Linked DNA regions of Daphnia pulex. The main gene of each other region encodes a partner of the protein of the gene in region 2 in a complex. Links are inferred from orthologs where the notes say so. Each region holds a gene or a part of one and is shown on either strand. Other genes may lie near its edges.

Region 1 (3,757 bases), on a different chromosome or scaffold from region 2:
TCCAATTTGGGTATTTTGAAAACTCTGAAGACTCTTGAGAGTCGTTTTTTAAAACAGCAGGGCAATTATTAGTTGGGAGAAATTTTATGACAACGGAAAGAAACGTTGCGTTATCTTTGGCCTATCCTCGCCTTGATAAATATTTAGATAATAAATAGCATCTTTTAGGGTCTTTTTGGATGTAACCAATGAGACGAAACGTTGTTTCTTTTATCTGTTTACATGCGTCTGTCACCACTCGGGTGCATGCTGTACTATGATTATTTGCCACTGAGATAACTTTATTATACTTGTTAAAACAGAACAAAGGAAACTTACCCGTCGATTCATTTGCAGTTCATCTTTAATGTTTGACACGGCATCGGTTAAGCTACTGTCATTAATACTGTTGGTCGAACTACTATGTCCATGATCGTCTTTTGATAAAGATTCTGTACGATTTTTATTCGTATCGTCTGAATGTCACAAAGAAAAATGTACATGTCATTGAAAAATGTGTTAAAGAAAATGTATTTACCTTGAGATGAGCGTTGTCGAATTGAATCACTTTCGGGAATAGTCATGTTGGAGCAATACGGAAATTATCCAGCCGAAAATCTAGAAGGGAAATATTTAAATTGGACCTTTGAAAATCCGTGTGCGAACGTATGGAAACGAAGTTTCCCTCCTACTATTTGCACACGTGATGCACTATATTTAATTGACTGTCAAAATAGGGCCACTGGGGCTCGTTGTCGACTAAAAGCGAATGATACAAAAGAAAAACTAGTAGTCAGGGGAGGCCGAAATAAGAATAGATCGGAAGTAGAAAAAGAGGGGGGAGAGAATGGAAACACGAGTGGTTCGGTCCACTCTTAAAGTAGAGCTGATTATTATTGACCATTCGCTGCTGATGCTGCTGTATCTTTTTTTACAGGGTTTAGCGTAAACCCGCCTATATACACACACACTGCAGTGTGTGTGGACTGCCCGCTGAGCGGCTAATCTATGTACTCAAGAGTTTTAAGCCATTTTGACATGTTTGTTCACTCTCTCTCTTCATACTTCTTAGTGAGGTATGAAATCATCTTAGACTGGCGCCACGCTTTTTAATTAGTCTGTCCAGGAGGTAGTTGATCCTTGTTTTTTTTTTTTTTACTTGGAACTCCTCTGTGCAATTTATATGTTATTGGAATCCCGACTCAATGTTTTATACATTTATACAGTACAGTCCTGCGTCAATTGTTTTGTTGGATTAAATCACATGCATTATCTCAGTTGTTGGATATGCATGATATGGAACCAGTTCTTTCTCAACTCATTCTATTTATGTTTATGTTGCGGCATGTTCAGTCGTAAAATAATATAATTCTTATTTTACTTTGTGGTTTTTCCTCCCTTTCGAGATCGAAAAACTTTGATAACAAGCGCGGCGTAAAATTTGAAATTGTAAATATGTAATTCAACTTGTTACCGCTAGATGACGTAAGAGTTTCTAGCAGACGAAGAGCTGAGGAACAATTCGAAAGCGACCGGTCGGCGTGATTATTGAAATTTTCTGTCAAATAATATCCAATTGTGTTTCGCCAAAATTAGATTTCTGTAAGCCACCGATGTCCAGTTTTAAGTTAGTCTCGAAAAATCATTTCTAAGACACTAAAAAAATGGCTAACTTGAATTTGAATCAATATTTACGTGAGGTAACACAGCGCGTCACAAACAGAATGCATTGTTTACACATCTTTAGTTGATTGTTTTTATTTAAACTATTTTAGATTCAATCTTCATGGCAATCTCGAAGTGGAACTGAAGTTTCAGTAAGAAATTCAAAATTAAATTTCTTGTAAAATCATGCTCATGCAATACTTCACGTCTTCTTATTTTGAAACCTTTAGGAACTCCTGTCATTCAATCACCCACATGTTATGAGCTCCAAACTTATTTTGGAGGGATTTGAAAAGTCTGTTGAAAGAATCGTGGAAGCTCCTTTTGATGAGATTGTTGTCCTTCATCTCAGGTATACAGTTGAACTTTCATCAATTTTAAATTTTGGTTTCAACTTTCAATTTTACCATCTAGATGCTTAAGCTATATCAACCAGCAAAAGTATTTAGAAGCATACTCTGAGCAAAGTGCTTTGGTACAGGCGTTTACAAAGCTCTTTCAGACACAGAAGGAAGACAACTGGGCTTTATTCATCATGTATGTCATAAGTTTAGATTTGCGTATGTTTGCAATCAAAGCAGACAAAGAATTGGCCAAAAAAGGAGCAGACAAACCAGGACAAACACTTGAAAAGGCTGCAGAGTGCCTCATGGGACTTTTTAGAGTGTGTGCTGCTGACAAGTAAGAAATAACATTTTGCGACTTATGTAGTAACTAGGTACTCATTCTTTTGTTTGAATTTACAGTCGGTCATCTGATGAAGATACAAAACGCTGGGGAATGCTGTATTTGGTCAACCAGCTGTTGAAAATCTACTTTAGAATAAACAAATTGCATCTTTGTAAGGCTCTTATTCGCGCAATTGATGCCTCCCAGTTCAAGGACCAGTTCTCCCTCAGCCAACAAGTGACTTACCGATACTATGTCGGCAGAAAGGCCATTTTCGAAAGTGATTTCAAAAGCGGTGAGCAGAGTAACATAAATTTCTAAAAGATAATCAATTCTTATATTTAATTTCGCATTTAGCTGAGAAATATTTATCCTACGCGTTTGAGCGGTGTCACAAGAACTGCCGCGCCAACAAACGACTGATTTTAATCTACCTGATTCCCGTCAAAATGCTTTTGGTATGACTTTCATTTGTTGTGTACACATAATGCGATGGAAAACGGAAGGAAGATGCTTAACGTATTACATTTCATTTAAAGGGTCATCTTCCTACAACCCAATTGCTGAGAAAGTATGACCTTCTACAGTTTAGCGAAGTGGTGCAAGCTGTTAGGGAGGGTAATCTCCGGAGACTCAACAATGCCCTTCTTCAACACGATGCCTTTTTCATTCGCTGCGGTGTTTATTTGATTCTTGAAAAGTTAAAAGTCACCACCTACAGAAACTTGTTTAAGAAAGTGTAAGGGATTTTATTGTTGGTGTTGAAAGATGAGCCGACATGATTTCTTTTGAATTTATAATTTTCAGAACTTTGCTCATGAAAACTCATCAAATCCCGATCGAAGCCTATCTTGAGGCCTTAAAATTCATGGGAGTTGAAGACATAGACTTGGACGAGACGCAATGTATAGTGTTACATAAATTAATGTGGCTTTTATAGAATTTGATCCATTTCTTTTTATAACGCAGGTATCATTGCAAACCTCATCTTTGAGAACAAAATCAAAGGGTACATTTCCAACAGCCACAACAAGCTGGTAATCAGCAAGCAGAATGCGTTCCCATCGCTGGCTGCTATCGTATAAGTTGGATCTAATATCTCTTACACACACCTGTTTTCGCGACTAATTGAAACAAAATAATAAATTTCTTATTGAACGAATTGTTTCTTGCTTCCTATTTTTGTATTAAGTAATAGTTTTAGCTGTTTTCTTGTTTCAAAGTCTTACATATTTGTGTTAGGTTTCACCTGACTACGCTATTCTACACCAAAACTGAGTGAATCTCAGGTAAATATTCAAATTTGTTTGTGACGATATTCAACGGTTTTTTCCCCCTAAATCTTAAGGATGATATCTTTTAATTGACTTGTCCAATCGTGGCCCTTTAGGAAGACGTGTCGGGGTGTACAAATTTCGGTATCCATTTTTAATCTCTCCACTCT
Region 2 (3,757 bases):
ATTTCCCAAGGAAAGCCAATCGATCGCTGGCAAGAAGTCCAGCACCCAGTGAGTCTAGCAAGTCCGTCGAAGTAAAATCTGAATCTTGAAGGTAACTCTTCAGAACAGCATCGGCGGCATAGGTAGCAAGAGGAGCGTCTTGCGCCTTAACAGCCCAAGCGACTGCCGCACCAAGTCGTCCATTGGCCAAGGCCCGTCGACCCATTACACGACAGACGGAAGTTACCACTGATGTTAGTTTTCTTCGCTCGGCAAGTGAAATTATTTTGGTTGCCTTCATTTCCGACTGGCACGGAAGTCGAGTGAGCAAGTGTTCCAGAGTCGCAGAACCAACATTAGGGCAATGGTCAAGATAGAGAACACCAACCGACCACAAGGATTGGTGGCTAAATAAGCAAATCGAGTAGTCACGAAGCAAAGTTTCTCTCAGCTGTAGTGAGTTAATGTCTTCGAACGACTGAAGTGCTCCGGCGTGATACAATAAATCAGCGAGATGTGCCGTAAACCAAGAATTATCCAATACTCCTTGCATTTCTCCAATCACCTGTGACAACAAATTTGAACAGATATAAAACGTTTCCAGTTAATTATGTTGGTAGTGTCTTGATACTTGCATGAACTCTTATCAAACTTGCTTAAAACTCTTATCCATTGATAACAGCGATACTCACTTTACGCGTGTCGCGACGAAGAACGGCCAAAAGTGTTGCATCTAGTGACGTCAAATCATCTAATCCGATTAAGGAAGCAAAAAACTGTTCGGCTTCATCTCCCAAAGATAACGTTCCAATTGTGGGTTGCGTGAACGTTAACTGAGTAATCATTCGTTGATACCAAGTTTCGAAATGATCGCCAACTTTTTCAAATGCTTCTTCTTTGCCACATAGTATCTTTATCGTAAGTAAATAGAAAGTTTATGTAAGTTAGACAAAAGACATACAACATAAACTAATGAAAATAAAAATGGGAATTAAGAGATCATTATATATAAAACATTATATACCTCCATTAGAAGTTCTAAATCTTTTGATTCGAAGAAATCTCCAGCTTGAGTGCGAGCCTCACATTCTTCTTTCCAATGATTCCATCTGAAGGTAAACTCTGGAGCAGAAACAGTTGAGTTGGCCTAAATAGAACAGAAATACTTAGGAGATAGAAAAATTGTTAATCTATCTAAATTACAAGAACTTTCTTACACTAAAGACTGGCATTTTCTTCAGCAACTCATATGCACTCTGAAAAGCTTCACTCTGGAAATCAGGATGAATTCTTAACAGTTTGGTAGCACTTTCTAAGCGTAACTGAAACACTAGTCCATAGAGAGCTTTCCAATAGCTTTCATGGAGTCCAGGATTTGGTGATGCTAAAACTGTACCAGTTTCTTCTACTGCATTTGGAAAATGAATACGAATCCATTCTAATAGGTGTGGCAGAATTCCAAGTGGGTTCTCAAGATACAGAATTTCACACAAATTCCACACCAACTCAGCTTTGTAAAATATTTCACTCATTTCTTGAAGTGCTTGATTAGATTCAACACTGTTAGCAAGATCTGCTGCTTGGTTCAAATCTTCAATGCATGCATTCATTATACAACGATACTGATGACTGGATTTAATTAACTCAGATGAGCTGATTTGGCCATCTGTGCCAGCCTTAATTTGTAAAGAAGTAAATGCTCCACAGGATTCATTGACCAGCTTGCGAACAAAAGGATTGTACAAGGTTCGCTCCCAAGAAATTGTATAAAGCTTCTTCTTACAAGTCTGGGGACTAACTGGACCTGTCATTGAGAAAAACTTAGTAGGAGTTTTTTGGCTAACTTCCAGAAAGAACTTACCAGAGGTGATCGACTTGGAAAATTCTGTTGGAAATACAGCCAAGCTGTTACCATAACCCCAAGAATGCCCAACATCTTTGTTGTATGCAAATAGAGGATCTTGTATTCCCTAAAACAAAGAAAGTTTGGTTACAAATATGTATACCATGAACAATTCGAAATTATTATTACAATAGGTTCAAGCATTCTGTAAAATGCGTGAAAATCACGTCACAAATCGTAATTGTGTGTAGGATTCAGAAGGATTTCAACTAACAGTCAGAACTCGTAACGAGTACTTTTTTGAAATATTTCTAATCTGTCGTCTGCTGCTTCGGTTTTACACCATACTGCAATGGCCATGGTTACGGCGGTAACTATGACCTGTGCTGCCGAATGTCGATAGCGGAAATTTCAATTTTCGTGGCTGCTTGTTTGTTGACAAAATATCATAGTCTACTTGATCTTATTAGGTGATGTTATATTGCTGTTTCATTAATACTTTCAAGTTGTTTATCGCTTTTCACCTGAAGAATTTATTTGATCCATATTAAAATATCCGTTTCAACAAAGTTTTTGCTATGAACATTGCCGTTTGTTCAGTAAGACAGTTTTGTTCGTCTTCAACATGCTTTAAAAAAGTGCCCGATCGGCTAAAGGGCCGCAGTAAAAGTTCTCAAGAATGGCTAACTCGGCAAATGAATGACGAGTATGTTCTTAAAGCCAAAATGGAAAATTATAGGTAGTAATTTTCAAATAAAAATTATGATTTCAATATTTTCAATTAACAGGCTATAGCTTCAGTTTAATTGTTGTCTAATATTTACTACTTCTTATTAACCAAGAAAGAGCTAGAAGTGCCTTTAAATTGATTGAAATTGATGACAAACACAAATTCCTTAAACCTGGAGATGTGGTTGTAGAATGTGGCGCTGCACCTGGTGCTTGGACACAAGTATGTGTAAAACGAATTAATGCAACAGGAAAAGGTAGATTGAATTGTTTAACTATTTAGCCTAATTAAAATGACACTAGAATGTTTATGGATTTCATGCAGTGTCTTCTCAGCTTAAAGGAAAGCATGTAGCAGTTGATCTTCAACCAATGTAAAAGGGCTGCAAAGTTTTGGTACCCTTAGTTCACTAACATTATTCAATTTTATTCTTTCAGGTACCCAATTGAAGGAGCTGTAATCTTGGCTCCATTAGATTTCACAAAAAGTTTGTCCCAGACCAGAATAACAGAAATACTTGGTGGGCAACTTGCTAATGCAGTCCTAAGTGATATGGTAGGGCTGATTTTATTTCAGTTTTTTTTTACCTTAAATTATTTCAATTAATATTTGCTAATTAAATTTAGGCTCCTGCAGCATCGGGTATACGAGATTTGGATCAAGATAGGATATTAGAATTAGCATATTCAGTGCTGCGTTACGCGCAACAAATCTCTATGGACGGAGCTACGCTATTGATAAAATTATGGGCAGGAGGAAGAATCAAACAACTGGAGAATGAGATTGCATTACACTATTCTCAAGTCAAAGTTGTGAAACCACCTAGTAGTAGACAGGATTCAGCTGAAATGTTTATACTAGCTAGTAATTTCAAGAAAAATACATAGTAATTATTTAACTACTTACTTTGCTTTATTCACATTGAAGTCTACTGAAATTTTGCTTCATCCATGTATTCAATTCACCTTAGTTACATCACTGACTCTAAGCACACTTTTAACAGTTTGATTGGCCGGTGACAATTTTTAAATTTAGTGTGGCAAATTGCAAATCTCACACGAAGATAAATTAGGCATATTGATGAAAGTGCAGTGAAGACAGGTCCAGGATTTGCCAGCGGCATCTCCGGTAGCACCTTCTTCCATCGGTTGCCCTGGTGTCGACATTTGATCAGCGTGAGCCAGGAGCTGACGGACAGTGCTCCA

Evidence for each region. The genes of interacting proteins can lie anywhere in the genome.
Region 1: nuclear pore complex protein Nup85-like (region 2) and PCI domain-containing protein 2-like share a complex: the UniProt entries of both Drosophila melanogaster proteins name them as parts of the nuclear pore complex. The link is inferred for Daphnia pulex from reciprocal best matches to the Drosophila melanogaster genes Nup75 and PCID2.

The regions. Positions count from the first base shown.
Region 1 is NC_060025.1:7,985,583-7,989,339, forward strand, and holds PCI domain-containing protein 2-like, read left to right. Parts: upstream 1-1,469; 5' UTR 1,470-1,643; coding exon 1,644-1,679; intron 1,680-1,754; coding exon 1,755-1,796; intron 1,797-1,874; coding exon 1,875-1,996; intron 1,997-2,058; coding exon 2,059-2,325; intron 2,326-2,390; coding exon 2,391-2,608; intron 2,609-2,670; coding exon 2,671-2,771; intron 2,772-2,852; coding exon 2,853-3,052; intron 3,053-3,120; coding exon 3,121-3,218; intron 3,219-3,282; coding exon 3,283-3,398; 3' UTR 3,399-3,475; downstream 3,476-3,757. Other genes in the region: b(0,+)-type amino acid transporter 1-like, read right to left, coding at 319-455, 518-563; threonine synthase-like 2, read right to left, coding at 3,650-3,757. UniProt on the Drosophila melanogaster protein: Required for the export of nuclear mRNAs and involved in mRNA trafficking in the cytoplasm.
Region 2 is NC_060023.1:4,665,591-4,669,347, reverse strand, and holds the start of nuclear pore complex protein Nup85-like, read right to left. Parts: upstream 2,169-3,757; 5' UTR 2,027-2,168; coding exon 2,012-2,026; intron 1,950-2,011; coding exon 1,841-1,949; intron 1,784-1,840; coding exon 1,197-1,783; intron 1,127-1,196; coding exon 1,004-1,126; intron 891-1,003; coding exon 672-890; intron 545-671; coding exon 1-544. Other genes in the region: rRNA methyltransferase 2, mitochondrial-like, read left to right, coding at 2,401-2,561, 2,669-2,808, 2,877-2,925, 2,990-3,107, 3,179-3,439; nuclear protein localization protein 4 homolog, read right to left, coding at 3,584-3,757. UniProt on the Drosophila melanogaster protein: Component of the nuclear pore complex (NPC) that seems to be required for NPC assembly and maintenance. Required for nuclear import of phosphorylated Mad via importin msk.